4 linked regions of the Tamandua tetradactyla genome follow. The protein of the gene in region 4 purifies or fractionates together with the protein of the main gene of each other region. This does not show direct contact. Links are inferred from orthologs where the notes say so. Each region holds a gene or a part of one and is shown on either strand. Other genes may lie near its edges.

Region 1 (7,112 bases), on a different chromosome or scaffold from region 4:
TACATGAAAACAACTAAGTTAATACAAGTAATGTTTTCAAAAACAATGTTACAAGTTAACATGTACAGCTACAGAATAGTTACCAATAATTTTTATTAGAGGTTTGACCTGCCCTAACTTGTTCATCCTTTCTACCCTGGGTTAGCAATCAAGCATGCTTGTGACCAAGCTGAAAACACAAACTTAAAATTTACCACCTGCTTATCTATAACTAGTATTTGTAACTAATAGACCAGGGAAGAAAATAAAAGTATTTTGTAACTACAGATATATATTGTTTCACTTCAGTCACACAAAAGTTTTGTCAGCATGAAGATATTCATATAAATTTCACAGCTCCTCCCAAGTATATAAGAATGATAGTCCAAGTTTTGAATTCTCCTCGTTCTGGCTGCAACAAAACTTATGCAACATCCTCCTTCCCAAACAGCAACAAAAAAGTTTATTTACATATAGATTTTCTAAGCACCATATCTCAAAATACCTTGAAACTTGTCCCCTTCATGTTATCCTTTCTATCTTGGGGAAAGGGGAACAATTTATGAAAACAAGTATATGGCACTCCATTTACAACAATTTTTACTGCAGTCATCACTAAAAACAGAAAGCTCAAATCACTGTTCAGTAAGTTCTAACACTGGAATGTAAATTTTTCTACATAATGATCTTGGTAAATGAAGCAATCAGATAATTAGTTCAAAAGAAAAAAAAAAAGGAAAACGGATGCTTCTTGACACCTGAACCCTGTTAAATGCTTCATTTTTATTAGCCACTATATGAAAAAACAAAAGTTGGTTACCTCTGAAAACGATTTAAAATAACTGTTTTAGCCTCTGGAAGATTCTCAGGCCTCCGACTCCTTGCGGAGTCTAAATTACATACTATGCTAAGCTTTCTAGCACAGTTCTTTATTTCCTCCCTCAAGGACTTCAGACTTGAATAGTTTGAGCATTCCTTTAATCCTATAGAACAGTCTTCTGCAAGTTTTTCAAGTTCTTCAGTTACTGTTGCAATCACTTTAGGGCCTTGTCCTTGTATGTGGCCTTCAGAACAAAGACTAGGTCAAAATAATGAATATCGGGTACAAAGTAATCAAATTTTGTCTAGTGTGAAAGAACAGTCTATAAAATAAACCCTGACAGAATTTTTTTATACCAAAGATTTTGTGTTTTAAATGTAAAAGTAAAATAGATTTATTACTAAGTTAGTTCAGAATAAGTTTAAACACTCTGAAATACGAAAGTTTCACTAATTTAAGCAAATAATAAACAGCAGCATAATGCAATTAACCTTTCAAGCTATATCTAATATTACTTTCTTAGAAAAAAAATTAAGACAACATAAGGATATCTAAAGATATATTAATGTTAACCAAGTGACAATCAAATGGCTTCCTAAATCCTAGACAAGATACTTTAATTTAGTATCTGAAAAACATTAGCCGAGACTATCAAAGGAAACGCTGCTGTCTCTTCAAGCTGATGTCTAGTCTAAGCCACCACTATTCATGATACAAAGCTCTCATTTCACTAAAACCACTCCTCGATTTCCTTTTGCCGACCTCTGCATACCAGCAGCCCAGGCCCCCTTCATTCACCACGCAAAAACTCAGGGGGAGGGGAGACCACAGATGTCTGGAAGATACAAAGTATGAGACAATGCCTCCCTCCAAACGCCAACAGAAAACGAAGGAAAGTACTACACCAGACTGACAAAGCTCTCAAGCCGATTCAGAAGCGGTCTGTGGGAACTTAACTTCGAAAGCCTCTGTTCAAAAAGTCCTTTCCCCAGACAAAACACCGAAAGAAGTTGCCGTACTTAAATTTCATTTGGACAATTTCGCTCCACTGAAAAGAAAACTGCTCCAAAAATCAAGTTTAACTGTCACAAAACTGAGTAAATTATTTCTACGAACAACATTTTCCAAGCAGAGGCTGAATCCCGCGGTTCATTTATATGAAACCGTAAACCGCGACACCATTCCCCCCTTATTTTACCAAGGTCTCACACCCACCGCCATAAACCCAGAAGACTCCCAGTACATCAACACGCGTCGCTACTGGAATCACCTGCACGACACGAAAAGATAGAGGTACAAGACACGGATTTGATACGTGGAAACCCTCCTGGCGCATCGCACCGGCTGCACTAAGAGTTTGGTTCCTCTGAGGTTTAAAGTTGGTACGGTTTTAACAAGCTCCAATGCCAAACTCACATAGGCTGGGCATTAGAGCATGATAATAATTCTCTTGAGGAACGAAAGGAGGAATCTGGAGAGAAAGTCCAATGGCCCCATCCCTACCGCAGAGGGCACCTAGCGGGGAGTGTCCCGGCCCCAGCGCCCAAACCCCAACTCCCCTCTTGGGCTGCGAAGGCGAAGGCTCCCACCCCCACCCCGCCCCCCACCCCAGCCCCGGCGTATCCTGAGGCGCAGGGTCCCTCCCCCAAACTCGGCCGCGGCCGGGGCCCCGGACGGAAACACGGCTCCCCCTTCCCGCCCGCCATCCGGGCTCCTGGACGCATGCCTGCGGCGCCCCCTCCTCGCAAGCGGCGCCCCCCGGGTCTCCTAGGGGCAGCGCGACCGGATCCCGGGCACCGCCACCGCCCTCTACCCCCCGAGCGCGGCCCGCCCCCGCCGCCTCCCGGCGACCTCAGCCCATACCCCCAGGCTCCCCAACCCGGGCCTCCTGGCAGCGCCGGGCCCACCTCCCCGCCCGCCGCCAGGACTGCGCGCCGCGACGAAGTTTGGTTCAGAACAAGAGGCGGGAGCAGCCCTAGAAGGTTAAGGAAAGAAGCACCAAGCACCTCAGGGGTACAGGGTCCGCCCGCCGCGAGAGTCTGGGCGTCCTCGGCCTGCGGTCGGGGATCGGCGGGGACTGGAGCTCCTCGGACCTCTCACCGTCTCCGTCTCCGCCTCCCCTCACTCTCCGCTCCCAAGGCCTGGCTAACGCGCTGCCACAGACCGAGAGGCTTAAAATGGCGCCGCACAAGGACCTCTTATAAGACGCGCTGAAGCCACTGTATCCTGCCGCCGCCGGCATGGCGCGGAGCGTTCCACCGCGTGAGTGCAAGGGGCGGGGCGCGGGCGGGCGGCGGAAAGTAGTTCCAGCGACGCGAAGCCCTTCGCTGCTGCTTGTCCTTCCCGGGCCGGGTGGGCTATCCGCTTGCTCCCTGTGCGCCCCTTAGTGGGGTGGTGGGTGCTGCGCGGAAGCGGAGTGTAACTTAGGGTGGCGCCATGGTGCGAGCTGGGAAGCCGGAGTCCCCGCGGGCTGGGGTCAGGGGAGGGCAGCACCGAGATGAGCTTCCACTGTCCCTAGCCCTACGCCCCCCACCCGGTGTGTCCCCCGAGCAGATATGGGCCTCACTGGGCGCTGCCCGCGGGAGGCAGCACCTCGGCCCGGGCCCTCGGGGACCGCGCGGAGCTGGTGGACTTGCAGGGCGGGTCTCGGGAGGATGGAAGTTTGGGTCTGGGCCCGGCAGGCATCGACTGCTGCCTGGACGCCGCCGCTGCCCCCCCACCTCCCTCGTCCCGCTGTCTGTTCGGAGGCTCCGGCGGGGAGAGAGTTAGGGGCTTCCGCCGCCTTTCCGCTCTGTGCCACAACGCTAGGCGCAGGGCCTGGCTCGCAGCCTACGCGCCCGCCACCCCAAAGAGCCCCCAGCTGTCCGAATCGTGGACCCCGCGTCCCAGTCCGCTGTTCACCGTGGCTGTGGCCGTGACTGACCAGGGCCGAGCCACCTACTATCCCACTCCCGAAAGCTGTGAACTCTCGTTAGAATGTGCGCCAAGCCCGCAATTCAACAAGTCCTTATAAATGCCTACTGTGAACAAATGACTAATCAAAATGGATTAGCTGGAGACCCCTGCCAATTAGGTTAATTTTTATAGATTCCATTTTTATCTAGTTCCACTAAGTATCAGATTTATTTGTGGAGGTGAATTTCTCCGGTAGTACTTATTTGAGAAATCCGTGTGTGTTTATAGAAGGGGCTACCGATTAGGCAGGTTCGATTTTTTTTAAAAACTAGTTTTCTATTCAAAAACAACAACAACAAAAAACCCATTTTCTAATTCGTTTTGATAGGCTGAAGTTGGGTCTTCATGTCCTTTGGAAATGCCTCCATTGTAAGCAAGCAAGATTGGCATTTGTCGAAACTGAAACAATTATGATTGATTCACTTTCTTTAGTCTCATTTTATGTTTTTTTTTTTCCTGTAAAACGATGGGGAGAGTACAACCAGCAACAGTGAAAGTTATCTTGGGGCTTTTATCCTAGGACTATAATTAATGAATACAAACAATAGCCTTTGTACATAAGTACAGGCATGAAACCTATTTAGTCATTCACTGAAGAAGTGAAGGGTAGTTTTAGGCATAAGTAAGTGCTTCAAGGCCAATATGGTCTTTAAATAACTTTTTTTGTCTGCTTTAGATATTTTACTGTATACAGTGGTGATGTTGACCTCCACACCGTAGCACTGTGTGGGCGGCTGTAGTGAGTAAATCCAAGCACTAAAATGATGTTCAGTGATCCATTGTCTAGAATGACTTTCTCATCTGTCTAGAAAATGGCTTTTCTCATTTGCCAGTAATTCTGTAGAATTAAATGTAAATGTAACTCATGGTTGTGATCAATTTGGCTGGTCATAATTCAAACAGATTTAACAGAAGAAGGTATTTTATCAAAGCAATGTTTTTGAATATGAACTCGATAGTAGAAATGGCATTTCCAAGTACTGATTCCCAATTTTAATTCTCATATACAGAATTAAAGAATACAAATAATGATTAAAACCATACATTTTAAAATCAGATGACTGTTTAATCAATAGTAGTTTTTTTTAAATAGATGTCTGCTTTTTCTATGTTCGGTTTATATTTGCTGATTATGGCACACTGTTAAAACTGGTTCAGGAATATTTGTACTGTTAGAAAATCAAAAGGATTAAAACAACCATCTTTATATTTCTCTATTGTGTCATCAAAATAATTGAAACAGTTCTCTATAAATTAAACATTTTAATCTAAATTTAGAAGTGAGTTTTTAATCCCTATTGACACTTGAAGCAAGCAAATAGATTAAAGGCAAATTTTGCATCAAAACAATAAGCTGTTTTTCTATCAAGTTTAAGTTTTGAAGAATTACTGGCTGACTAGCATTAAGACGAGTTAAAATTAACAAATTGCTCAGATTTTTTTATTTGCTTCTCTTGTAAAACAAATTTTTCCAATTGTCTCACCAAAATTATAAGATGAATAACTTCTGTGAAATGAAGGCAAATACTATCATTAAACCAAAGAGAAAGGCAAATATCAAAATACCTGATGAGTTGGTGAAATAAGTGATTTTATAAAAAATGGCTTTTAAAATTTGACATTGGGCAATACATTTTGTAAAAGTTTGCTTGGTTTTTATCTTTTTACACCTTTTGTTTCTACAGCCAGCCCACTTAAGTTTGACATAAATCAATTCATTTTGTGAACCTGCAACAGACAAATGGTTCGAAATTTTAGGCTGTATTCCTGAAAACCAAAAGCTGTCTCCAGCTGGTATAACAGAGAAGGTATTACTTGTCATAATTGCTGATCATTGGCATATCAAACAGTGGCTATGCAGAATCCAAACAGTAAGTGTCTCTTCACTAAAAATACATGCATTTGAATCACCTTTAGGCATAGAAATAAATGCCCAGATTGTTTTGCAATTCAGAAAACTAATCAAGCCAGCATTATGAAGAAGTCCTGTTAATGCTATCAAATCCATTAATTAAACATTTATTGCGCACTTAAGACAATGAGTGTGTTTTAGAAAGAGGAAAGTGAAAATTGGCTCCTTTTGATTTTAGGTACCTTAAATTAATGTATAATTGTAACTGTTAATTAACCTCACTCGAAAATAAGCAGAAAGAATGAAAAAAAAATAGCTGTGAAACAAGGGTGTGGTCTCTTCTGGACTCTCCATCCAAATCCCTTTGGAGAATCACCTTCCAGCAGAAAGGTAAGTCTATTTACAAACAGCAAATCCTGACTCTCTAAGAAGGCCTGTTAAAAATTTTCCTTTATGACAACCCAAAAGCGCTAAACAATAATCAGGGCCAGCTTTTCATTTAACAATTCATCAAGTGGGCTATTTATGGATTGGAACTTTTAATTTGCAATACAGCATCTTGGGGTTCAGTGTAATCTTTTGATTTCTTTCCAGCTGAAAAGACCAAGTACTTGTAAATACCTCTTATCAGACTACATGGTTGGCTATTCTCATGCACAGAAGTAATCTAGGAACCCACTGGCAAATTTGGCGGAGAGTCGCTGTGGAATGCTTGCATCTCCTGTGAACTGCAGAGCGAGGGAGGGGTGGCAAAGGTGGTGGAAGACGATGGCAGTGGTGGTGGCAGTGGCAGCAGCAGTGGCAGTTATGCTCATGGCTACTACAGTTAAGCCAAGAACAGTCTTCGTGCTGTGAGTTATGTGTTCTCGAGACCTTAATTGGTTTGACACAACAGTCCTTACCATTCTAAGGAAGTACATTTTAATGGCTACCAAGAAAGGTGAAGGACAAGCAGTGGAGACATCATCCATGATATTCAAGGAACACAAAAATATACGTGTCTTAATGTTTCTAAGAACTAGGACAAATACCGCCACATTCCAAACACATCATTCTTTGGATGCACCCCCACACAAAAACCCCAAACACACACACACACACACACACACACACACCCCTCTTTTAAAATTTTCAAAATGGTTGCAGATATTTCATTCACAAGAAGGTTTAAGGCGTTTCCCATCGCAAGAAGGATTAACTTACCGGAGGATTCTGGGACTGCAGATGTATACTGCGGCAAAATCCTAAATTTATCGAAAAAAAATGATTTCTGGACTCCAGCTGCTAAAAAGAATAGAATAATAGTAAATCATGGATAAGATTAAAACAACAAGCCATTTTCAAATTCCAAAGTGTTCAGAAAAAAAAAGTAATTCTTTTCTTTTAGTTCATTTCTTAAACAATGCAAATTTTAAAGTAGCTTTCTTTCCAGAGCACGCAGCGCCATGAAATCGATAATTTTTGATCTTTCGGTTAGTAGGCAACATGGTGAGCTATTGCAGGGAC
Region 2 (7,629 bases), on a different chromosome or scaffold from region 4:
CTAGTTCCCTGGGTCTCCACTAGCTCATAGAACATCTTTGTATGAATGACAAAAGGGTATCCCTTTCTCAAGGTGACAGAGACCTGCACCGAAGCGCATGGTTTGTGAGTAGGGGGCAGAGAACTAGATTTCACCCTATATCGCCAAACAACCTGGGGCAGAGCGCAGCCTTCAGGATCTTCATAAACATCAGCAACAGCCCTGCCAATTTCCTTTCTCTGTCGGCTGGGAGGGGGATGTTATCTAGTGGTTAGGATGCAGGGCTTGGGAATCACAGGCCATGTTCTAGTTTTGACCTCAGGCAATTCTCTTATCTGAGTCTCAATTTCCTCTTACTTAGAATAGGAGTAACTATATAGTACCAAACCTTAATCCTTAGAGAATTTTTATGTAAATTAAACAAGAGACCCTGTAAAGCAGAATGAAAGAATGAAACTGCGCTTTGGACTCTTTTTGGACTCCTGGATCCCACTTTTTTCTCTTCTACACATTTCATTTCCTTCCCTTCTCTGGGCCATGCTCAGAGCCCCCTCTGAAATCCCAAGCTCTCAGCTATCATGCTGGGGCTCTCTCACCAGTAATGCCCAGTCCCCAAACTTCCTTGTCCCCAAACCTCCTTGTCCCCATTTCCCCCAAGTTACCTTGAACCTTTTGTCCTGGAGAACCTTCTTGATGGCCACCAGCTCCCCAGTCTCAGCCAGCCGTGCCTGGTACACGACCCCAAAGGAGCCATTGCCAATCACTTTGATGTCTGTGTAAGCCACCTCCTGGGAGCACTCTGGGCCCTGGCCTAGGGTGGCTACCACTGTGGTCACCTTCCCGCTGTCACCTGGGGGACAAAAGGGACACACAATTGACTAACCTTTCCCCTCTGAACATTAACCACCACCACCACCACCACCCCCCAGAGCTTTGAGGGGAGAGGGGAAAAGAGATCTGTGTGTGACCTCTGTCCCTTCTCTCTCCGTGAGAAAGGTGGATGCTGGAGCTCTCCCAGTGACCTTTCCCCTCTCCCCTTCATGTAAACCTTAATTCTGCCTCCTCCTGTACATGAAGATATTGACACCTAAACTGTTTTGCAGTTCAAGGACTAGTTAACCCCAATTTCCAGTAAGCCACAAATCACTGGTCTTACTATGGGGAGACACTGACACACACACAGACATACACACAGAGACACACAGAGACACACACACGTTGAATCTATCCACTCTGGGCTTACTGATCTTTGGCCCCTCCTGTCTGGGGAGAAGCCTGACCTAACCTCTTCCACTTAAGGGAACAGTAACCTTGAGCCCTGAGCTACTCCTACTCTGGGAAAGCACTAACCTTTGGTTTCTCAGTTTGGCAAATAGTGACCTTTAAGTCCTACTGGGTAGAGCAGGTAACTTCACCACTGGTTCTTGATGACTGAATAAATGAACTCTTCTAACATGAATGGTAATGCCCTGACCTCACTTTTTGGAAAGTTACCCCTTATTCAAATACTTTCATGTTAGAAAACGCACTGATCTGACCTCCTCATCTGGGTGGTTCACAGTCCCACAATCCTCACTGTATGGATGGTCCCTAACCAAGAAGCATCATATTGTTAGAATAGTGAACCTAATCTCTACTCTTAGAAGGCTATCCTTAAACTCTGATTCCCAAATTCTATTCTCTTAAGGCAGCAAACCTTCATGCCATTGCTAGGAGATGGTCACTGCTTTTCTTGGATGAAGCTGCTGACCCTAATTCACTTTGAAGGGCCATCACACTTTCTTTTGGAAGATGACCCTACATTGTGATTTATTTCAAAATCAATGACACATGCCCCAAAATAATTATTGAAACTTATAACCTCTGGTCCATACTCTATGGGGGAATTGTGTCCCTTCATTCCATTTTTGTGGAGACCCACCATTTTTTTTTTTTTGAAGAGCAGTGACTATGGACTTGAAGGATACAGTAACTCTTAATCCCACTTCTGGAGGACTGGTGACACTTGTCCTTATTTCTAAGAAACAGTAACCATTAATTTCCACCATTGGCGGTACAGTTCTACAAACTGTGAAAGAGCAATGGCAACAGACCTTGTATTTTAAAAGAGAAGACAACCAGGACACCAAGTTTGAAAAACTCTGTCTTATTATTTGGGGACACAATAATCCCAAATCCCTGTTTCTAAGTGGTGTTGACTCTTCTCTGAGGGAGAGCAAATTCTGAGACCCCTTTGTGGAAGGGGGTGGTGATCTTAATCTTGTTTTTGTAAGAGGACAGTATAACAATGAATTTGTTCTCTAGGGGATGGAATGTCAGATTCCTGTTTTTAAGGCTCAAGAGATCAAGATCTAAGTTTTGGAAAAACAAGAACCTGTGACTCCTTATTTCTTTGAGGGTTAGTAATTGTGATCCTAAACTCCAAGCGATGGTACCCCCCTAAACGCATTCCTCCGGAAGGGAGCAAGCTCACACACCAATTTGGGGAGGCACAGTGACCTCAGGTTCCTATCTGGGTGTACGAAAAGAACTGATCGACATTTGAGGGGCCTCGGGAACCCGTATCTCCACCCGCCAAGGGCGCCGTCAGTACTCACGGCCCAGCTTCACTCCAGGCGGCGGGAAGGTGGTGCCCGCGCCGGGGCCGCCGCTGCTTGTTCCGCCGCTGCCGCTGGGGCCACCCCCGGAGCTCGTGGGCCCCACGCCCCCACCCATGGCCCCGACCGACGCCTTCCCGCCGCCGCTGCCACCCGGGCCGGAGGCCGAACCCCCGGGGCCGCCGCCGCCACCTCCGCCGCCACCACCCGGCTCCGCGAACGAACTGGTTCGCGCCCGGCCCGAGCCCCCGGGGCCGCCCCCCGAAGGCGCGCCGCCGCTCATGGCGCCGAGAGCAGGCCCAGGCTGAGGGGCTCGGGCTGCCCGGGCTGCCCCCGACGCCGCCGCTGCTGCCGCCTCCCCCGGGCTCCGGCCTCCTCCAGGCCTCGCCGCTCGGGCTCGGGCTCCGGCTCCAGCCCAGCGCCCGCCGCGGGGCACGCCGGGAGCTGCAGTCCGCCTCTCCGGCGCGCAGTCGTCACCGCCCTCGGCCTGCGGGCGGTAGAGCGAGTCGCTTGGCACGCCGGGAAATGGAGTCCTGGGTACTCCGTCGGCCGACTGTGCCGACGGCCGACCCTACAGCACTTTGGGAAACAGAGTCTGAGCGGCACACTCACTCCACCACGGCAAGGCGTTTCGGAGGTGTGCCTCAGAAATATAGTTGCAACCGCTCCATCAGGGAGCGACATAAACCTCTTGCGTAACCGGAAGTGAAGTCCAGCCTCTTAGTCCGTTGGGCATACATGCCTGCCCGCGTTAGGTGCACTCTAGGAAATTACGCCCGTTGGCTCACAAAAATCCGCCGTGTGGCAAGCTGGGAAATGGAGTCGTTGCCACACCCCCACTGCAATGCGGGTGTAAAGCGGTTCCAAGGCACTCCGGGAGATGGAGTCCCACGTGGTCCATGAGCCTCCAGTGGCTACTGCAGTTCCGGAGATAGGCTAGAAAATGAAATAGCTATGGCTCGCCTCTACTCCATACGCTCGGCCGCAGTTCCTACCGGGAAATGTAGTTGACACCAAGGCTTCAGCGATGTGTCTACAGCGAGCCTTTGCGGCTTCTGGGAAATGGAGTTCAAGGCTGCCTCCCCATCGACCGAGGGGGTAGGGGTTTACCATGAGCCCAAAGCATGCTGGGACTAGTCCAGCCCGGATCCTGACCTGCGGTGAAACGAGACTGCCTGGGCTTGTCGGGAAATGGAGTCCAATGAATACCACCAGGAGTGTGTGGGCAAAAAAAACAAAGCAAACAAACAGAACCCCCTGGGAAATCGTAGACCTGTTTCAGCCTTCTTCCCCAACCCCCAGATACTAAGACATGTAATTCCCAGGGGCTGCTGGAAAATGTAGTCCAGCACTCCTTCAAGTTCTAGATGTCTACATTCCGGGAAGAAAAAGAAAAATGCGCCTCCCACCCAAAGAATCTAGGAAATTAAGTTCCCAACGATGTCTCAGAATACTACACAATCTCCGTATATACGCTAGCACTTTCTAGCAATGTGGATCATACTAGGAGTCTAAGCTGAAAGCTAAAAGAGACTGTGTCTTCCGCTTCCTACATTACGGAATCCGGGAGGGCTCAAGACAAGGAAGCCGGTTGGAAGAAGCAGCATCAAGCTTTGTGCATTCATTGAATTACCCGATTTATCGATTAATACCAGGAAGGAGAATGTTCCAAAGGACGCTGGGAAACAGAGTTTTTGTGTCTCCTTCCCACCCCGCCTCCGGAAACACTTGAGATGAACACGCTCTCAGCCCCTCCCGCCTCGTGAAATGGTGGGAAAGAGCCTGGATTTCACTTTAATCTGAGCCTAAGTGTATACAGCCCTGCCCTTTCGGAAGCCGGGAGAAGGTTCCGTCCACTCGATCTATTCCTGAGTGCATTTCCCAGTGGACACAGTTCCCGGGGACAGGACAGGGGGCAGCGCTGGAGCCGTTTCGAACTACATTATCCAGAAGGCAAAGTACGGCCACAGTTCCGCTCTTTCTCACTGCTTGCGACTTTATCACGCACAGCTCGGAGCAATTTTTTCTGGGAGTTATAGTTTCCCAGCCAAGCAGCGCCTGCTGCCCTCTGACGGCAGCTCTGAGTCGAAAAGCAAAAATGTGAACCAAGCCCGAGGGCTTGGGGAACGCGAACCTGCGCGCCCACAAGGCCGATGGCCCGAACGAGGCAGGGTAAAGACTGTTACTTAACGGCCAGAATCCGCGGGAAGTGCGTAGTGGGCCGCGCGTGGGCAACCGCCACCGAAGAGCCTGGGGTCCGCGAGAGTCTCAGGGCGACTGTAGGAAGAAATCTATCAGGCCATTCATAGGGGCTGAGAACGTTCAAAGAAGGGTACTAAGATAGGCTGTAAATGTTTGTGAGTAGCCTGAAGGTGCCTAGAGAGGTGACAGGGTCTTTGATGGGACTTTCTACTTGGAAGCAGAGATCTTGGAAGACATGGAAGGGACCAAGGGTGTGGTCTCACAGGAACTTAGCTTTTCAGGCCTGCAAATGAATTTAAGTGGGTCATTAAAGATTGGGGTTGCCGCTGGAATTTTGAGGCCAGGTGCCAGACAGTGTGGCATCCCACTCAGCCGGAATCTGGAGCAATAAGTCTAGTTGGACCCTGGCCTGAACAGGAGAGCAATTCTGGAGATGAGGACTTTTGAATCCATGTTAGACTTGGTTAGAGTTGTTTTGAAGGCACCTGGTCTGGAGGCTGAAGCTACTAGTCAGGGTCCTATCCTTCCCCCCAATTATGCCATGCCCCTTTCTCCATCACCCACCACCACCAACTTCTCAGCTGCATCTGTGTTGCCAGGAGACATACCTCAGCCCAACTTCCAGAAATAGCCCAGCGAAGCTGCTCCCAGTGGTCCCCACCCCAGGGAGTGACTTACATCACCCAGGAGAGGGAGCAGTTGCCTGCAGGCCACCACGGGAGCCTAGGTTTCCTGCCAGTATCCCAGCCCTGGATCCTCTCTTCATTGCCATCCATGATCTGGGACCACCCACCCTGGGCTGGCAGTAGATGAGGTCAAAGCAAGAGTGGGTAGCAGTTACCCAGCCAATGTTCTTTCTCCCTCAGGGTTACACAGGGTGGGATTTCATGGTGAAACCAATCCAGCAGCCCCTGAGCCCTACCTTCTTTTAGCAGGTGTGTGGCTTTAGGGAAATCCCTTCCCCCTCTCAGCCTCAGGCACCTCACCTCCACTACAGAGGTCAGGCTCTTCTCTAAGGGCACTTCCGGCCTGAATTCCTCACTCTCATTCTCTTAGCCATTATCAGAGAACTCCAATCTCTGTTTCTAGTTTCACAAGCTCACCTCTCAGATCCTGTGATGGAGTCCCTGATCTTGGGCCAACCATTTTAGCTTCAGGGAGCACTCCATTGTCAAAAGAACTTGGAGTTTGTACACAGAAGTCCTGGCTCAACTTCCTACAGCCTCATGGCCTCGAGCGTGTCAGTCGTTTTAACTGTGCCCATCGTCCCTACCTCACTGGTTGTTGAAGGAGCTTCTAGCTAAGTACTTGGCACAAAGTAGGCCAATCAATGACAACTATAATTATTGAGCCAGTCCCTTCTCAAGTTGCTGGCTTGGGGTGTTCCCATGGTTCCTCAAAGATCATTAGGGTTCCTGGCGAGGTCTACATTTCAAAACACAGTGGGCCATGTCTCCAAAGGACTCCCCAGATTAGTTTAGAAACACCCAGAGGAGGGTGCCGGTGTTAGAATGTGAGAGTGCAAAAAAACCATCTCTGATTCTCTTGGGGAATCGGGATGTGGGAAGGAGTCACAGAACCAGGGAAGGGCATTTCGAGCCATCTAAACTGCCTGGGCAACAGGGTAGAGATGAAGAGTTGAAAGCACTTTCATGGAAGTGCAGGTCCTTTACAGAATGGGGCAGTGGTCAGCTCTAAGGCCAGAGTGTGACCTGAGGTTTATGTAGCCCTGAGGTCAGGAGATTTTTCCCAGGCCGTTTTGACCCAGTCATTTGGGCTCAGACCCTCTGGCCACAGATCTACAGGGGCAGGTAGGGAGGTAGGACCCAGACCAGATCCTTGTCCTTCAGAATCAAGCAAAGGCTGTGCCCCACACTTAAGACAGATGACCGCATCAAAAGGTCCAAAGTTTTATTGTTTGGAATACATTCTCCAGCCGCCCCTCCCTCACTCCCTCCCCACCACCCTCCATGCCCAGTACAGAATAAGGCTTGACCACAGCCCCCACCCCCACCCCACCCGAGGGGCCCCTGCTGGGAGGCAGAGGGGGCTTCCAGTTTGGTTTCAGGGCAGCCCATTCCCACCCCACCCCCACCCACCTGCCCATGGGCCAGTCCTAGGAGCAGCTAAAGGTGAAGGGGTTGGACCGGTGCTGGGTGGGGAATGAGAGAAGGACAGCAGGCACTTGAAGAGATTTGTGGCCCATGGGTGGCACCCCTCACCCTCTTCCACTTCCCACCGCCCACCACGCAGAATTTTTGGTTCATCATAAAATTGTCCCTCCCTCCCCTGCTGTTACCTTGTGGGGTATGAGAAGCCCAGGCACTCACAGCCCCTGGAGGGGCAAGGAAGGCAGGGTTGGGACTGGGAATGGTTGTGGGGCAAGAGGGAGAGGTGCAAGAGGCAGAGGCCAGGGAGGGAGACAAGGCTTTACTTCCTAAGCGATTGTAATAAAAAAGTTCCTGGGTATTGAGACCAGAGCCTCAATTCAAATAAAAATCCCCAGAACGGCAGTGGCCCCCTTAACCTCCCCCCTCCCGTCCTCCTCCCTCCCCCACCTTGCCCAGAGCTTAGAAACCCACAGACAGGGGACAGTCCCCAGTTCTGGGCACCCACCCATCCCGACCATTAAAAAAAAAATTAAAGTTTTATACAAAATATGGGGGGGGGGGCAGGGAGAGGGAGGAGGCAGAGAAGAGGCAGCTGCCCTCACCTCCAGGGCATTGGGGGGTGGGGTGGTTAAGGCAGCAAAAGAAGCATGGGTATGGGGGCACATGGGTCCCCTGCCCACAGACCTCAGGAGTCTCGGTGCTCCAGAGAGAGCTGGGCCGTGGCGTGTTGGAGATCAGAG
Region 3 (7,125 bases), on a different chromosome or scaffold from region 4:
GGGATTAACTTAAAAAATTAATCTGCCATTCAGCTATAAACCTGGACTCAAAAAGCCACATGATTTGAAATCTTAAATTCAATTAAAAGTAATCATTGTACATGTAATAGCATATATATATATATATTTTTAAATCTCAGTTCCTCAGTTTTCTGTTCTAGGCAGCAAGAGCTTGTTTTTTATCTCATTATGCCCCTCTCTGGAGGAAAAAGGAGACAATACACACATTTCTGACAAATTCTGGAAGTATATTTAAATAAGCTGTCATTAAACACTTCATCAAATATACAATAAACATCTCCACAAACAGAGATACAATAGAACATCAGATACTTAGTATACCAACCACCTCACGAACATGGACTTTTCAGCACAAATCCAGGACAAGAGTACAGTCTGGCAACAGCTCCTATCAAGCACAGCCCAAATAACCCTATTATATCCAGGGCCACAGGCTTTTGCAAAGCCGTGACAAAAAGAGCTAAATCCATATTCTTATCATTAAATTCATATTCTTTCTAAATGTAACAGGAAGCCAAGATAAGAGTGTTTTAAATAGTCCTAATAGAGGACCCCTGTACTCTAGAACATTTAAAAGTAATGAATGCAAAGACACCCCCAAATTGAACTTAAATGACAATGAATCAGTGGCAATTAACATGTAACCTAGTATTTGGCAATATGACATTACAAACCTCAAAACTTATACCTACTTTCAAGTTACCTTTTGACTAAACAAATTAGTGTTAAACTGGTAATGTCAAAATGGAAGCATAAAAAAAAGTGCATTAAACCACTTATTCAATTTAAGACAATGCATGTAGAGATGGTACTGCTGCTGGATAGCTATGGGCTCCCAAACGCCAGTTCCAAGGAGAGGAGTCAATGCTCACTTCAAACATAAAGGTTGGTTCCTGATCAAGTTCACCCCCGGATTAAGAACAATACTTTGTATAGTCACACAAGCAAGAAAAACATGTTAGGGGGATGTGATATTTAGAGCATCTATTAAATATACGAAACTGTATTCAATATCCTCCCTCACTCAAAAAAAGTACACTCCGCAAGCGTACATGTCTTATGAAACAAGTCTTGTTTTCTTTATTCAAGAGAATAAGCAAGTAAACACTTTCATCACTATTTTAACACGAAAACACTCAAAACACTCGATAAAACTGACTACCAACAGCAAGAAAAACTATTAAAAAACAAAAGTTTCATATCAATTCATCCAAATACAAATCCTATTCTGCCAATTCAAGGTTAATGAGACAGGGGAAGGGGATACGAGAGGAGAAAAGAGGGAGCTGCCTCATCCTTTACTGAAGACTAATTTTGCCCTTTTTCGTAAACCAGATTGTTAAATCGGGAGGCCCAAAATTTTTAAACCCTAGTATTTCAAGGTTCCGTATTCTAAAGGTGAGGTAGCGAAGGGGGGTAAATTAAAATCAATACTCACTGCTAACTTTCATGCTGCCAAAAGCTGAAGGCTGCTGCACTGGCTTGCAGCTCTCCGCAAAGGAGGTGGTTCTGGGCCGCCCTGACATGATCCTGTCTCCCCGAATCACCTTCTTTTCCTTCCTTCCTCCTTTTCTTCCTTTTGCTTTGTATTGGGTTGTTAGGTTAATGATAAATGCAGCATTAAGTTCTCCCACAGGAAAAATAAAAAAAGACTTCGTCCTCTTGGCTTTTCACTCCTTTTGTATAGCTATAAAAAACGATCGATGTATTTCTCCTTCAAGACAGATCGGTACGGATATTTAACATATAGATGATTTGGGGATGGGGAAAAAAAATACAATTCTTTCCCCTCCCTTTCCTGGGGGAGGGGAAGAAAAGGAGGGATCCTAAAAAAAAAAAAAAAAACTCACGTGAAACGGGGACAAATACTTGATTGAAAATAAGCACTTAGAATATTATATATTCCTCGGGGATTTTTTTTCCGAGTCAATGAAGAAGGGAAGCGGCGGAAGGATCACGAGTCTCACGCTTGAAGAGAAGGGGGATGGGAAGGAGGGAAGGAGAGGGAGGGGGTGCCTCGGAGATGCGACGGGAAACGCTGCGGCTCCGGCGGCGGCGGCGGCGGGATCTGGCGGACTGACGGCAGGGGCCCCGCGAACTAGAGGGCGGCTGAGTCGCGAGTCAGTCAGAAGCGGGCGGTGGCAGCAGATCCTCTTCTCATTGCGCCAGGAGCAGCTGCAGGCGGCGGCTGGATCCAGCGGCCATGGCGGCGGCGGTAGCGGAGGCAGCTCCCTTCAGACCCCAGGCAGCGGCTCCTCGACTGCTCCCCATACGCCGGGGACATGGGAACCCGGCAACCGCTTCCGTCCCTCGGGGCCCCCTCCCCCGTCCACCGCACCAGCGCGGCCGCCCTCCCACCCCTAGCCTCTGCTCCGTGTCCGCTGAGGAAGTGTCGGCGCTTTGCCCTCAGCCCGAAGCCTTGTCAGCGGCTGCGGGGTCGGCTACTCCTCGCTTCCCTCCTTCCTTCCTTTGTCACTCGGCCCGGGCGGCGGCAGCAGCAGCACAAACCCGCATTCGCCTGGGTCGGGGCTGTTCTGTGTGAGGAGCGTCGTCTGCGCAGTCGCCTAGCTCTTCCTCACCCCCCTCCCCCTTCCTACTCGTCCTCCGCCTCCTTCCTCCCCCACCCAGCCTTACCCCGCCTAGAGCCCCACCGCCCGCGTAACAGGCGTCTGGGAATCGCCGACCGAGCTCGCACCCGCCCACTTCGGCTGAGAAGCCGAAGACCGAGTTGGGCCAATCACGACGCCGTTTGTTTGAGACTCCTCCGGAAAGAGCCGATCGGCTTGAGGAACCAATTAGAAAGTGTCGCTGGTAACCCACACCCAAAGAGCGAAGATTGTCGAAGATAGCCGAACGGGATAAAGGTGGATTCGCCTTGTTCTATGGCTGGACGGAAGAGAAAATCGACAATGCAGCAGTGACCAATCAGAGTCAGTCGCCCTCACGAAAAAGCACGAAGAGTTAAGGACGATGAACCTGGGAGTCGCTGGTGAAATTGCGCGGTTGGGCACCGCTGCCTCTTTATAATTGGCTGAAAAACTCGGCTGGGATTATACCTCGCTGGGTGATTGGTGAGGGGAAAGGAGGCTTCCGAGAATAGTCTAGCCAGTTACGACGTCTCCTCCCTCGCCGTGGTGCGGAGCAGAAGAAAGCGAAGAGAGGACGTCTATAAAATGCCTTCTCATTGGCTTGAAACTTTGGCGCTGGTGTGGGGGGCAAAAGGAAAGGGAGGGAGGGCGAAGCTCTTAGCGATAGCCAATCGAAACTCACTGCCGTCTTATCGCAAGACATAGCTGTAGTGTGATTGGTTTTCAGCCTGCGGCGGCAGTCCTAGTATCTGGGAGAACCTTAACTGGAGTAGTGGTGCCAGCCTGACGGAGGTTTATGCGACTGCTGTCAGGCCGTGCAGGTAGCTCGGACTTTTTGCACCCCCATCCGAAATGTCTGCGGTGGGTGGGACTGGGCTCCGAGCTTTTAAACGGAGGAATGTCGAGGAGTTCTTCCACCAAATAAAGGCTGTCTGCGGGGCACGGCCAAAACTGCGTGTCTGAGGCTTCCCTGAGCCCGGGATCGTGAGTCCGATGTACCTGCGTCTTCCCCAAAAGGGCTCAACGAGCCAAGGGAGCTTCCTTGGCAGGATGCGAGTTTTCACCGTGGCCGGGTGCTAAAGTGGAAACAAAGCTTCCAGAAAGGCAGCATCTCTGAGCGGTCGTGCCCCACCCAGCTGCTGGAGCCATAGCTAGAATGAGGCCGACTGCGCCTAGATGCGCGCGTCCAGTTTGGGCCTTCTGGAAACGCCTCTGAGAAATGAGCTCATGCTGGTTGCGCGCGCTCCTTGTGTAGACTGTGTGGACTGCAAAACCGGTCCCAAAAGTAGGTGAGAAATTCCGTCAGGCCGCATGTTCGGAAGCCTCTGAGGAAATGGAGAAAAAAATGAGCCCATAGTGGTTGAAGTCCTTTGGAACTGGAGTGATCTGTGAAAGTCCAGTTTGAGTAGATTTCACACATTCGTTCTTCTACACTAAAAAAAAAAAAAAAAAAGTGATTACTTTGGTCTGCCACAAGGCAGTGAAATATGGCTATGTCCGGATAGGCAAAGTAGAACGGAAAGTTATCCTGATTGTGAACCGTTGGTGCCTGTAATTTGTACCTGCAGAATCATCCCTTTCTGTTAAGATACTATCTCAGATAGTACCCGTATTTGATCAGATTACCTATTTCTTTGTAAAAGCTGATGAGGGACTTGGGACAGAATCAGGTGACCTTTGATGGGAGACAGGAAAGGTCTAGATAGAATTTGCTGACTCATATGTCTAGAGAAGCCAGACGAGTAAAGCAAATCAGTGAAGCTGGCTTGATGTAAGGTAATAGGGAATACAGAATGGCAAATTGAAGTGTCCACGCATCACCAGAGGAAGCAGATGCGTCTCACCTGAAGAAATGTATGTCCAGTGTCCTGAGATAATCGCTTCCTTTTTTACCCCAGGAGAACCCCTAAAACTGGGTTTTTGTGTGAACTCTCTGGATGTTTAAATGTTAGCAATCAGTATTTCGAAACACCTCGGGCCAAGCAAGAAACATCAGGGGTAACCAACAGTTAGTTCATCAGTTTGTAGTAGTAAAAACCCTTATTCTTTGTAATGAAGAGAGAACATGTAGTCAGTGGATGTCATGGCTATGCGAAACACCTCGGGCCAAGCAAGAAACATCAGGGGTAACCAACAGTTAGTTCATCAGTTTGTAGTAGTAAAAAACCTTATTCTTTGTAATGAAGAGAGAACATGTAGTCAGTGGATGTCATGGCTAGGGTAAAGAATGTTAAAAGCATAATCAGGGAATGGTGGCTTTGTCTGCTGAATGGTTCCTCTCCATGCCAAGTATCAGGAAAGACCTTTAGTGCTGCTACCTAAAATGCTATGAGTCGGGTGGGCCATGGTGGCTCAGCAGGTAAGAATGCTTGCCTGCCATGCCCAAGGACCTGGGTTTGATTCCCGGTGCCTGCCCATGTGGAAAAAAAAAAAAAAGAGTAAAATGCTATGAACCCTTTTAGCTTTGAATCTCACCTTCCTCTTCTGTACTCCGTATTCCAACTCCCAACTATACCATAGGAAACAAACGTTTATGTCATACAGATTAATAGCATACTTGCTCCTTTGTATTTAATAGTACAAAAGTTGTGTACATTGAGGTTATAATTACTTTATTGTTGCTGCCTTCAGTATTTTGAACTGATGTTGTATAAAAAAAAAAAATCAGACCAAGAGGGGTAGATTTTATAAGAAAGAAGAAAGTGTACTGCAGTCCAAGAATTAGGGCTTGAAGAAGTTTATGAGAAAATACAAAACTACTGCAACTAACATTCAGTAATTGCTTTTGTGAACTTGCAAACCTATTCTTACTTTCCTGCTTACTGTCAGCCACTTTATCAGTTTATATTAATTATAAATAAATTGTTTGCAATGTTCCATGCACTGTTCTTAAGTATTTTATAAATACCATCTCATTTAAATTTCATAATATTCTTTGAAGTACTATTTTCATCTCTGATCCTCAGATAAGGAAACTGAGGACAAGAAACGTTTAGAAAGCTAGAATAAAAAGTAGAACTGGGGTTCGGAGAGCCTATTCTTAGCGTCTCCTGTGTACTTCTGTCCCTACTTCTCCTGGTACATGTTGCTTTTTCTATAATCTAAACCTTATACTTTCTTACTGTGTATTTCTGGTTTTGAACAAACCTTATAGAATATCAGTTTGTTTTTCTCTAGGGCCCATCAAGTGGTGCCTTGCAGAGATTAGTGATTCTAAGCCGCAGTATCAGTAAACTAAACAACTGGAAAAAGATAAAGGGTGGAAAGCCGGTTGATAGAGAATGGTTGAGTAGGGTAGTGGGTAAGAGAGTCTACAAGATGGTAGTTATAAATTAAAATGCACAATGAACTGACTTTATAAATTCTGTAGTAATAAGCATTTGCATAGCATTTTGAGGTTTAGGAAGTATTTTAACATGTGTTATATCATTTTGTCCTCACAGCAAGCCAGTAAAGCTATTCTCTTTTTGCAAATAAGGAAGCTAAACACTAGAGTGAGTAAATGAGTTGCTCAGAATCACCTAGCTACATTTTAAATTGAAGTTTGAGGAAACTGTAGGTAGCTTTAATAATGAGAGTAGCAAATAGAATATGAGTTTTTTTTTTTAATGAACCTGGTGGCAGCCATTCCAAACATAAGTCTGTGAACAAGCTCTTCCTAGGAGCTCATTTACTTGACCAACATATATTAAATACCTACAGTGTTCCTGGGTGCTGCCCTTCAAATTTAATAAACAGATTCAATGCACTTCCAATCAAAATTCCAAAATATTTCTTTGCAGAGGTGGAAAAATCCAATTCTCAAATTCATAGGCAAGGTAAGAAATCCTGAATAGCCAAATATATCTTGAAAAAGAAGAAGAAAGGTAAGGACTCACACTTCACAATTTCAGAATTTATTACAAAGCTCCATTAATCAAAGCAGTGTGATAATGGCACAAAAAAACAGACATACAGACCGATGGAATAAAATTGAAAATTCAGAAGTAAACCCACATATCTAATGCTAATTGAATTTGGCAAGGTTGCCAAGTCCACTCAGTGGGGAAAAAAGATGGTCTCTTCAAAAATAGTGCTGGAAAAACTGGATTTCCACATACGAAAGAAAGAAAGCAGACCTTTACGTCATACCATGTGTTGGTTTGAAACTTGTATACCCCAGAAAAGCCATGTTCTTTAATCCTATTTAAATATTGCTGGGTGGGATTTTTTTTTAATTAAGTCATTTCCGTGGAGATGTGATCCACCCAACTGTGGGTGGGACCTTTTGATTAGTTGGTTTCCATGGAGATTTGTCTTCACCCATTCAAGATGGGGTTGAGTACTGGAGTCCTCTAAGAGGAAACAATTTTGGAAAAAGCGTCAGAGCCAACAAGAGACCCAGACATTTGAAGATGAAGAAAGAAAACACTCTCAGGGAGCTGTTTGAAACAAGAAGCCAAAGACCCCAGCAGATGCCAGTAACACACTTTCCCAGCAGACAGAGGTATTCTGGACACATCAGCCTTCTTGAGCC
Region 4 (7,937 bases):
GAGTTGTTCTGAAAAGCAGCTGGAGAGGCAAGGCAGTAATGGGGAAGGACCTGTCACATAAGTGGGGAGGAGCGAGCCTCAGATAAGCCAAGCAATATACAGAGTAAATGGGCCCATTTGACTTAGCCGTTAGGATGCCTTTTACCAGGCTGAGAATGGTCTCCGTGGAGCTGTGAGAGAGGAAAAGAGACTATGATGGATCAAGGAGAGAAGGAGAGGGAAGGAAGTATGGAGAACAAGTATAGACTCCTCTTGAGAGGGGTTTGCCACCCACTCTACACTCCTGACTGTTTGGCAGTCCATCAGGTAAGGAAGGAGGCGCCATTACAGAATCGGCGGGCTATATGATAAAGCAGAACATTGGAGACATGGTGTACAGAAGGTTTTTCGACATGGAGCAAAATCAAGAACCTCTCCAGGTGCTCTGGGGGTTGCCTGGGATCCGGGGGAGCAGCCTGCCTCATGGCAGCCATCCCCCTGGGGTCTGGGAAAGCAATCGGCCAGTGTGTAGGGATGTTCAAAGGAAATCAAGAGACAAGCTGACATGAGGAAATGGAGAAACGTATTTCAAGTTCAATAAAACTTCACTTTCCAGTTGTTTAAGATGAACAAACTGAAACCTCACAAGCAGAAAAAAAAAAATCTTTGGGGACGGCCCAGGACTACAGATCTATTTGTTAGCAAAGTTTCACGTGGCACCTGTTCAAGTAATGCCTTTAGAGATGTTTTCCCCCCGTTTTTCAGTTCCTTTTCTGAAAATGACCTTTTTTGGGTTTGCTTGACATTACGGAGGAGATAACTTCAGAAAAGAGAGTCTCTTTCCAGATTTGCTTTCATATTAATGGTCTCTTCTAGCTCTAAGCTCAGGCCAACTACTAAACTAGCCAAGATGAAGAAAGGTGTGACTCCAACATATCCAACAGTTTGTGGCATCACTTATAATACATACTAAAAACACCTCAAAGTAAATAAAATGAAGAAGTTTAAGGTTTTTGTTTAAATTAACTATATCCAAAGTTAATATACCAAAGATTTTGCTAACAAAAGAAGTTTTCCCCAACATTTCTATGGGTAGTTATTTCTTAGGGAAATTTCACATTTCCCTTGTGGATTCAAAATGTCCTTGTTGGTATCCCCAACCCCTCTCTGCAAAGAGGAAAAGAAGTAGGAGGAAGAGAGTGGCAGGAAGTTGACCCCTACTTTTCATTCCTCTCCTTCCTCTCAGGCTCTGTAAGTTCTTCTCCCTTAGGCTGCTCCAACCTCACGGAGCTGCCCGGGGAAACAGCTCCCACCAGAAAAGACTCCGTGGGACCACCCAGGCTGCAGCCAGTTCCTGAGGTCAAGGCTGATAGGGGCTGAATGAAGTTTGCTTCAGAAGAATTTCAGGCTGAATCCCTGTTGTGACACTTTGGAGAAAGATCCCAAAGCACATTTATTAGCCCTCCCCTGAGAGCCAAAGGATCTAAATGCTTAGCTCTCTTAGCCCAATCCTGCCCTGGATCTTCTCACCACGACGTGGAGGAAAAGAAGAGGGTGGGCCAGAAGCTGGGATCGCTAGAAGGTTCTAGCTCAGCTTTGATATGGGCGAAATGATTTCGGAAAGATCCTTTCTTAATTTTTCTTGTCTCTGAAACGATGGGGATGGATTAGACAAGACCTTAAGTGCTCCTGGGGCTGGAAAATTCTGCTATACCTTTTCAGGACCAGGATAGGAGTCTCTTTGAAAGAAGGCAGAAAGGCACAGCTTTCCTTTGTCCCCCCAGCCCGGGCCCCTCTGCAGGGTTGGCAGCTGGGCTGGCTCAGCTTTAAAGGCCCTTCCTGATCAGGTTCCAGGTCCCCTCCCCCGGGAGTGTGACTCCTGATTGGAGGCTGTCTTTGTTTTGAATAGGGGCAGTTCCTTTCAAAGGCTTTTGTCTGCACAGAAATAACCACCCTGTTCTGAGCACCTACTATGTGCCAGGCACCTACTATGCTTACCTTATGGCCCATCTCACAACAGCCTTTGGAGGGGGGATTTCCTCCACTCTACAGGTGCACAAACGGAGACTTGGAACAGCTAGGTAACCGGCCGTCTCAGGAAAGGTGTATCTTTCCCTGTGTATCTCTCCACCTCTCTCCCTAAACAAAGGTACATTGTCTAAGGCAGCCCTTTTCCAAAGAAATAAAAGACCAAGTTACAGACTCTTAGAGAGTGATGTTCTGGGTGTGAGATCCTCTGGAGCCCCAGCTGGTGTGAGCTCCCTCCAGGGTGGTTTTTTGTGGGGATGACTAAAGGTCACAGATCTGGCCGGATGCCTCTCAGGGAGCCCTGAGCCCTGGTTTCCTGGGATTCTAGAATTTCAGCCCAGGACATAATTCCAGAAAAGAATCACTCCCTCCTTTATTAAACTTGTCTGCACTTGGGCAAAGTGGGCTGTTTATTCTCTGTCGGGTTTTTCTTTAAAGAGCGGGTTCGGGCTGGGGGCGGGGGCAGTGAGCATGTGCAGAAATCCATCACCTTGCTTTCCAGTTTCCAGGCAACCGTGCAGGATTACAACCAGTCACATGATAGCGCTGCTGCCAGGGAGAAGGGGAAAATGGAAAACTGTGCTATCTTGAGAAAGGGGCTGGGTATAAGCAAAGAACTTTGGGTCTTCCGCTTAGAAATATTATCAACAAGTGGTCAGAGACCCAGAGGCCAGAGAGGGCTTCTGGCAGCTCAGCCCTTTGGCCAGCCCTCTTGCTGGATGGGGAATGCATGACCAGATATGAAGGGGGAGGGGAGAGAGGGCAGGGGGAAGGAGGCGGGGTGGGGTGGGGGTGGGTCATTGGCCTGAGGTGACCGAGCACCTGTTCTAGAAACCAGGCTCACCGAGGGATTATAACTGAGAAGATGCAAATCAAACCAGGCCTTGCTTGGCTTCCCCATCACCAGTCCCTCCTTCCTGCCGCTGCAGCCTGGGGTGATGAGGGAGTTCAGGGGGAGCCCACTGGCTACAGCCAAACCTTTGATGCTTCAGGATGGTGGAGGGGTAGTGGAGGGTCAGTGGGGACAGCTGGGAGGGGAGGAAAACCACCCATGAAGACTAAGTTTCCACTTCCCTTTTCAAATCCCCCTCTTTGTGAACATTGTTTATTTTGATTTTGGATGTTTTGATTTTTCACCCCCCCCCCCACATTGCGTGAGTGCAAGTGCACTACTGTTGTTTTTTCTACTGTGGATGTGTCTGCAGGCAATCGAGGCCTCGCTACACTTTCGTTCCTGTAATAACACCCTCTGTGGCCTAAAGACTCCCTGGAACCACAGGCTTTAACCCAGGGGACAGCTCTGCTCTTCGCTCTCCTGGGGTGGCCCCAAATGGGTGTACCGCTGCCACTGGGTGCCCTCCAGCTGCTCAGAGCGCGCATGTGCGCACAGGCTGGCTGCCGAGAGGGGCTGTGGGCCATTCACCCTCCAGGGTTCCGGAAGGCTGGTCTGTTAGAGGGCACCGGCCTGAACCAGACCTGCTTCCAGCTTCCTCACGCCCTGCTGCTGTCCCAAGGCAAAGATGAGTCATTGGGCCACACTCTTGCTCTGGTCTTCCTGGTTGGCCCTGCGGCCACGGACACAGAGAGGCAGGGCAAGTGCTCCAGGAGAGAGGTACACCTGCCTTGGCACTCAGGGGCTGAAGAGCCCAGCAGCCGGAGCTGCAAGAGTTTCTCATGCCCCCATTGTAGGCTGGGGGTGGGTGGAACACTGGCCCTCTGTGTGCCGCTTTCCAGCATGTCATGGGTGGTGTATCTCCCTTGTCGTTTTCTGTGAAAACCTGAATGGACAGAGAGAAAGTTTCTTGCATTTTTTTGAGGGTTCACAGGCCTCTGCCAGGTTAGGGGTACCTCTGCATTTAAAAGGGCTCATCATACATTAAGTTCAACAAGACAGTAAGTCAAGAAAAAGCGAGCAGGGCTGGAGAGCCAAAGTCTTGCCCAGCTCTGATGCTGGCAGCTCTGCCCCACAGTCCGGGGGTCCCTGGCTCACACCCTTTCCTAAGAGGAAGCAAAGTTAACTATGACATCATCCCATGAGGGATCATTCTGTAGCAATGCATGACGAAATAAATAGTACTCTGGGTTTTGTGGCATATTTCTTATTACCTTGAGTGAGGTTGTGTCCCATAAACATTATTGGGCAAATGTGGGGAGGAATTGGACTGCGACGGTGGGGTGGCGAGTTTTCAGTACATTAAAACCGCGTGTCTGGAGGGGAAAAAAGACACTTCGTGTCTGTTTAATATAGAACATATGGGAGGATGGGGAACGCTTGGGAGAGGGCGGAGGACATGTTCCAGAGAGGTGGTGAATGTGTGCGCAGTGCAGGTTCCGACTGGCCAGCAAGGCTGGGAAGCAGGGGTTACATCTCCAGGGAGTTGGTGTCAGGACTGGTCTCCAGCACTGGGAGGAGATTCACAGCCCCATCTTCTCACATCCACAAACGCACGTTGGTCCTGCAGTTACCCAGAGTCAGATATAGAAGCACACGCACGCGCACGCCTTCCGCATCCCGGCCCGCTGGCGCCCTCTGACACTCGGCCAGTCCAGCCCAGGGCTAGAACTCCCTTTCTAAAGTCCTCCAAGCCCGTATTCCCAGGGAAACTTTAATAGAGGTAGAAAGTGTTTGATGATGGGGAAAAAAACGCCAACATTCTGCTTGCTTGCAGTTCTTGCGACCGCCTGAATGCTACAATAAACTGTTGCATTCCAGAGCTGGGGACGGCAAGGGAAGGCAGGGGGAGGAGGCGAGAGCGAAGAGGCCGGAGAACTTGAAAGAGGAAATCAGAAACTCCGGCTGAGAAAGCCACTGGGGCCACGGGAGGCTGGCAGGGGGCGGAGGAAGGCCGGGGAAGGGTTAACGCGGGAGCTAAGCGTGCGGCGGGGGCGGGCCGGGGCGGGCACTATCCCTTTAAGGCGGGCGGCGCGGGCCCGCCGAGCGCGGCGGTGATTGGCGCGGCGGGATCACTGGCTCCCGAAACCCGGCCCGGGGGGAGGCGGCTGGAGCCGGCTGCGCTTTGATAAGGTCCTGGCAACTCAGTAACAACCCGAGCGCCTGGCAATAAAAATAACCCCGAAAAGGCATGGAGCGGGGGGCCGCCCGGCGTGCCAGCCGTCCGTCTCCCCTTGCAGAAGCCCTGAAGTAAAAGGTGGGGGTGGATGTCGGCCCCAGGAGAGCCTCTTCAGAGGAAGCCCCGCGTGGGCCTGAGGGAGAGGTCGCGCCGACCCCGGCGTGGGCCTGGGGTAGCGGGAGAGGGTCCTGTGGGGCCGGGGCCGAGGCGGACCGCGGGGGTGCGGGGGATGGGACAGGCCGCGCGGCCCCGGGGAGGGGTGCGGGGGCGGCCGGGGCGCGGCCTGCGCGTACCTCCCTTTCAGGACCGTGCGCTCGGCTCGCGCCTTTGAAGTGCACAGTTAAATCCACAGCGCAGTTTTTGTTGGAAGCGCCCGGAGGATCTTTGGTGCGCGGAGCGGCTGCTGGACGCGGGGCCTGTGTGCAGTGCCGGGCCGCCCGCGGGCGGAGGCCGGGGCGGCTCTTTTTTTTTTTTTTTTTTGCATAAAAGGGGGGGCGGAGCGCGCCGCGCGGCCCCTCCCTCGCCGCTGGATTTCCCTCTAATCCCGAGATTGTTGTTTCTCCGCCTCCCCCCCACCCCCCCACTCCCGCCGCGCGACTCCCCATGTTCCCCGACGCCGGGGCCGGCCCGGGGGGGGCCCGGGGCCCTGCGGGGGGAGTCTTGGAGGTTTGGCCGCGGAGCGCGCGCGCGGATCAATGGTGAGTGCCGGGGCCGCGTCGGCGGGGCGGCCCTTTGAAGTTTTCTGGAGAGCTATTTCGGGGCGCGCTGCGGACCCGCGCGGAGGGGAGCCGCGAGCCGGGCGCCGAGCGCTCCAGGGGGCTGGGCCTGGCCGCGCCGGAGCCCCCTCCCCAGAGCCCGGGCCCGGGTGGCGGAGAGGGGGCAGATACCCCGGGGGTCGCGGCGCTGTCGTCGCGAGGGATGTAAGTCGGCGCGCGAGTGCGCGCGGGAGTGCACTGGGGAAGGTGAGATGAAAGGGTGGCGGCGCCCCCAGGCCCTCGCCGCCCCCTCCCTCCCCAGCCCCCCCCCGCCCCATCCTCTCCTCCCGCCCCTCTCTTTCCTCCCCTTCTCCCCTCCCTGCCGCGGGTCCGCGCTAAGGGGCCACGAGCGCCGGGCCAGGCTCAGTCCGCGCGCAGAACTGGCCCAAGCCCGGGGCGCTCGCGTTCTCCGCGTCCTTCCTCCCCGCCCGCGCCCCGCGCCCCGCGCCCCGCGCCCCTGGCCGCCTCGCCGCCGCGGCCCCTTTTGCCGAGAACCGGAGACTCCGCGCGCGTCGCCATTTCTGGACTTGGCCGCCGCTTTCCGTGCTTTTTCTGCGGACGCCTCTGCGAGCGGCGGAGCCGGGGACAGACTCGCGCCCGGACTCCGGACGCTGCTTGCGCCTCTTGGGGTTCTTGCCCCACGCTCGGCTCGATTGGGGCAGGGGCGGGGATGGGCCAGTCCTGAGGGTCTCGGCCGAGATGAGAGCCCGGCCTGGGGCCGCCTTCGTCTTCCAGGTATCGAGGCAGCCCCACCTCCCCAGCGCTCGGGTAACCGGTGCTGCCCGCGGCTCCGCCGCGTTGCCCGGCCTGGGGTTCCCCGGCCCGACCCTGCCCTCTTTAGTGCGATCCTTCCCGTGCTAAGGAAAGCGGTTTGTTTATTGGCTAGATAAGACTTTTTTTTTCTTTTGGAAAAGATAGGCTTGAGATCAGTAGAGTTCGGGAGTCTTGGCATAGACAGTGGTAGCGTGAGACAGTTTCTGATCCGGTTTTGTAGGGTTCGCGGCCCCGGGAGGTGGGCTGGGGGGAGGACGGGGGCGGCAGGGCCCGAGGCTTCTCTGGTTTCTTGCAAAGTTTGAAGATCAAAGTCAGGGCTGAGTGAGTTGGGTTTTTTGGTTTGGGGGAACGGGGGAGCCCGAGATGGAGACACGTAAACTGAACCGGATTCTTGGCGGGGGCGGGGGTGGGGCGCGGCGAACATTCCCATCTGGGTTGAGGGGCGTTTGCCTCCTGGGTCTGGGAGTCGGGAGCCCGTTCCGCCTTGTGTTGGGCGGGCTTCTTTCGGGAGAGGATCTTCGGAATTGTTAAGGAGTGGGAAGGGGGGAGTGCAGAGGAAAGGGGGTGGCTGGGGGAATGGGAACCAGATGCCGAGGAAGGGCACGTTTGGGGCTCAAGTTATCTGTACGGAGAGCCGAGTTAGGAAATTTTTGCCGAAATTGGTTTCACCTGCGCACAGCCGGGCGACTCGGAGTGTGTCTTTGGAGTTGATGCTATGGGTTGGGGGGAGGGGAGCAGGGAGGTGCTCCCGGGACGCCTTGCTTGCACCGGGGCCCAGGCGGGTGTTTGGAAAGCTGTCTCCTTACCCTGTCACCCCCCCATCAACCCTTCCCATCTTATTTCTCTCCCACCTCTCCATCCCGTCCCCTCCCCACTCCCTCCCCCCCGGAAAACTGTGCAGGGAGCTCAGGTTTCGCCTTTGAAAACGCAGCGTCTTATACTTTAGATGAGCACCTCGCAGATAGCTGGGTTGCTTGATTTGAATTTGAGGAGTTGAAAAGCCTGTTTACTTTCTTGCTTTGATGTTGGGTAGATCTGGTTTTGATTAGATCAATACCCTTTTCTCTCTCCCCACCTCCCCCCCTTCCTTTTCTTTGCAGAGAGGAGGCTCAGATGAGCTCCTGCTGACTTGAGAGGGAAAGAGAGACCACGCTGGTTGCTGAGAGGAACTGGAAGAAGAAGAAAAAAAAGCCAAACTCAGAACTCCTCCCCCGCCATGAGTAGCGCCGTGCTGGTGACCCGCCTCCCGGACCCCAGCAGCAGCTTCCGCGAGGATGCCCCAAGACCCCCGGTTCCGGGAGAGGAAGGGGAGACCCCACCGTGCCAGCCC

The links.
Region 1: the proteins of AXIN2 (region 4) and CTNNB1 purify together in Homo sapiens (affinity purification with western blotting; 4 studies listed by BioGRID and IntAct, with this or other methods). This does not show direct contact. The link is inferred for Tamandua tetradactyla from reciprocal best matches to the Homo sapiens genes AXIN2 and CTNNB1.
Region 2: the proteins of AXIN2 (region 4) and GSK3A purify together in Homo sapiens (affinity purification with mass spectrometry; 3 studies listed by BioGRID and IntAct, with this or other methods). This does not show direct contact. The link is inferred for Tamandua tetradactyla from reciprocal best matches to the Homo sapiens genes AXIN2 and GSK3A.
Region 3: the proteins of AXIN2 (region 4) and GSK3B purify together in Homo sapiens (affinity purification with mass spectrometry; 9 studies listed by BioGRID and IntAct, with this or other methods). This does not show direct contact. The link is inferred for Tamandua tetradactyla from reciprocal best matches to the Homo sapiens genes AXIN2 and GSK3B.

What each region holds. Positions count from the first base shown.
Region 1 is NC_135341.1:46,094,344-46,101,455, forward strand, and holds the start of CTNNB1 (catenin beta-1), read right to left. Parts: upstream 3,007-7,112; 5' UTR 2,806-3,006; exon of another isoform or gene 2,596-2,805; intron 1-2,595. UniProt on the Homo sapiens protein: Key downstream component of the canonical Wnt signaling pathway.
Region 2 is NC_135342.1:21,910,767-21,918,395, forward strand, and holds the start of GSK3A (glycogen synthase kinase-3 alpha), read right to left. Parts: upstream 3,003-7,629; 5' UTR 2,860-3,002; coding exon 2,577-2,859; intron 830-2,576; coding exon 642-829; intron 1-641. Other genes in the region: ETS domain-containing transcription factor ERF, read right to left, coding at 7,575-7,629. UniProt on the Homo sapiens protein: Constitutively active protein kinase that acts as a negative regulator in the hormonal control of glucose homeostasis, Wnt signaling and regulation of transcription factors and microtubules, by phosphorylating and inactivating glycogen synthase (GYS1 or GYS2), CTNNB1/beta-catenin, APC and AXIN1.
Region 3 is NC_135336.1:25,803,112-25,810,236, reverse strand, and holds the start of GSK3B (glycogen synthase kinase-3 beta), read right to left. Parts: upstream 3,010-7,125; 5' UTR 2,656-3,009; intron 2,650-2,655; exon of another isoform or gene 1,848-2,649; 5' UTR 1,548-1,847; coding exon 1,460-1,547; intron 1-1,459. UniProt on the Homo sapiens protein: Constitutively active protein kinase that acts as a negative regulator in the hormonal control of glucose homeostasis, Wnt signaling and regulation of transcription factors and microtubules, by phosphorylating and inactivating glycogen synthase (GYS1 or GYS2), EIF2B, CTNNB1/beta-catenin, APC, AXIN1, DPYSL2/CRMP2, JUN, NFATC1/NFATC, MAPT/TAU and MACF1.
Region 4 is NC_135332.1:8,456,896-8,464,832, forward strand, and holds the start of AXIN2 (axin-2), read left to right. Parts: upstream 1-4,933; 5' UTR 4,934-5,032; intron 5,033-5,038; exon of another isoform or gene 5,039-5,156; intron 5,157-5,371; exon of another isoform or gene 5,372-5,536; intron 5,537-5,663; exon of another isoform or gene 5,664-5,776; intron 5,777-6,480; exon of another isoform or gene 6,481-6,568; intron 6,569-7,707; 5' UTR 7,708-7,823; coding exon 7,824-7,937. UniProt on the Homo sapiens protein: Inhibitor of the Wnt signaling pathway. Down-regulates beta-catenin. Probably facilitate the phosphorylation of beta-catenin and APC by GSK3B.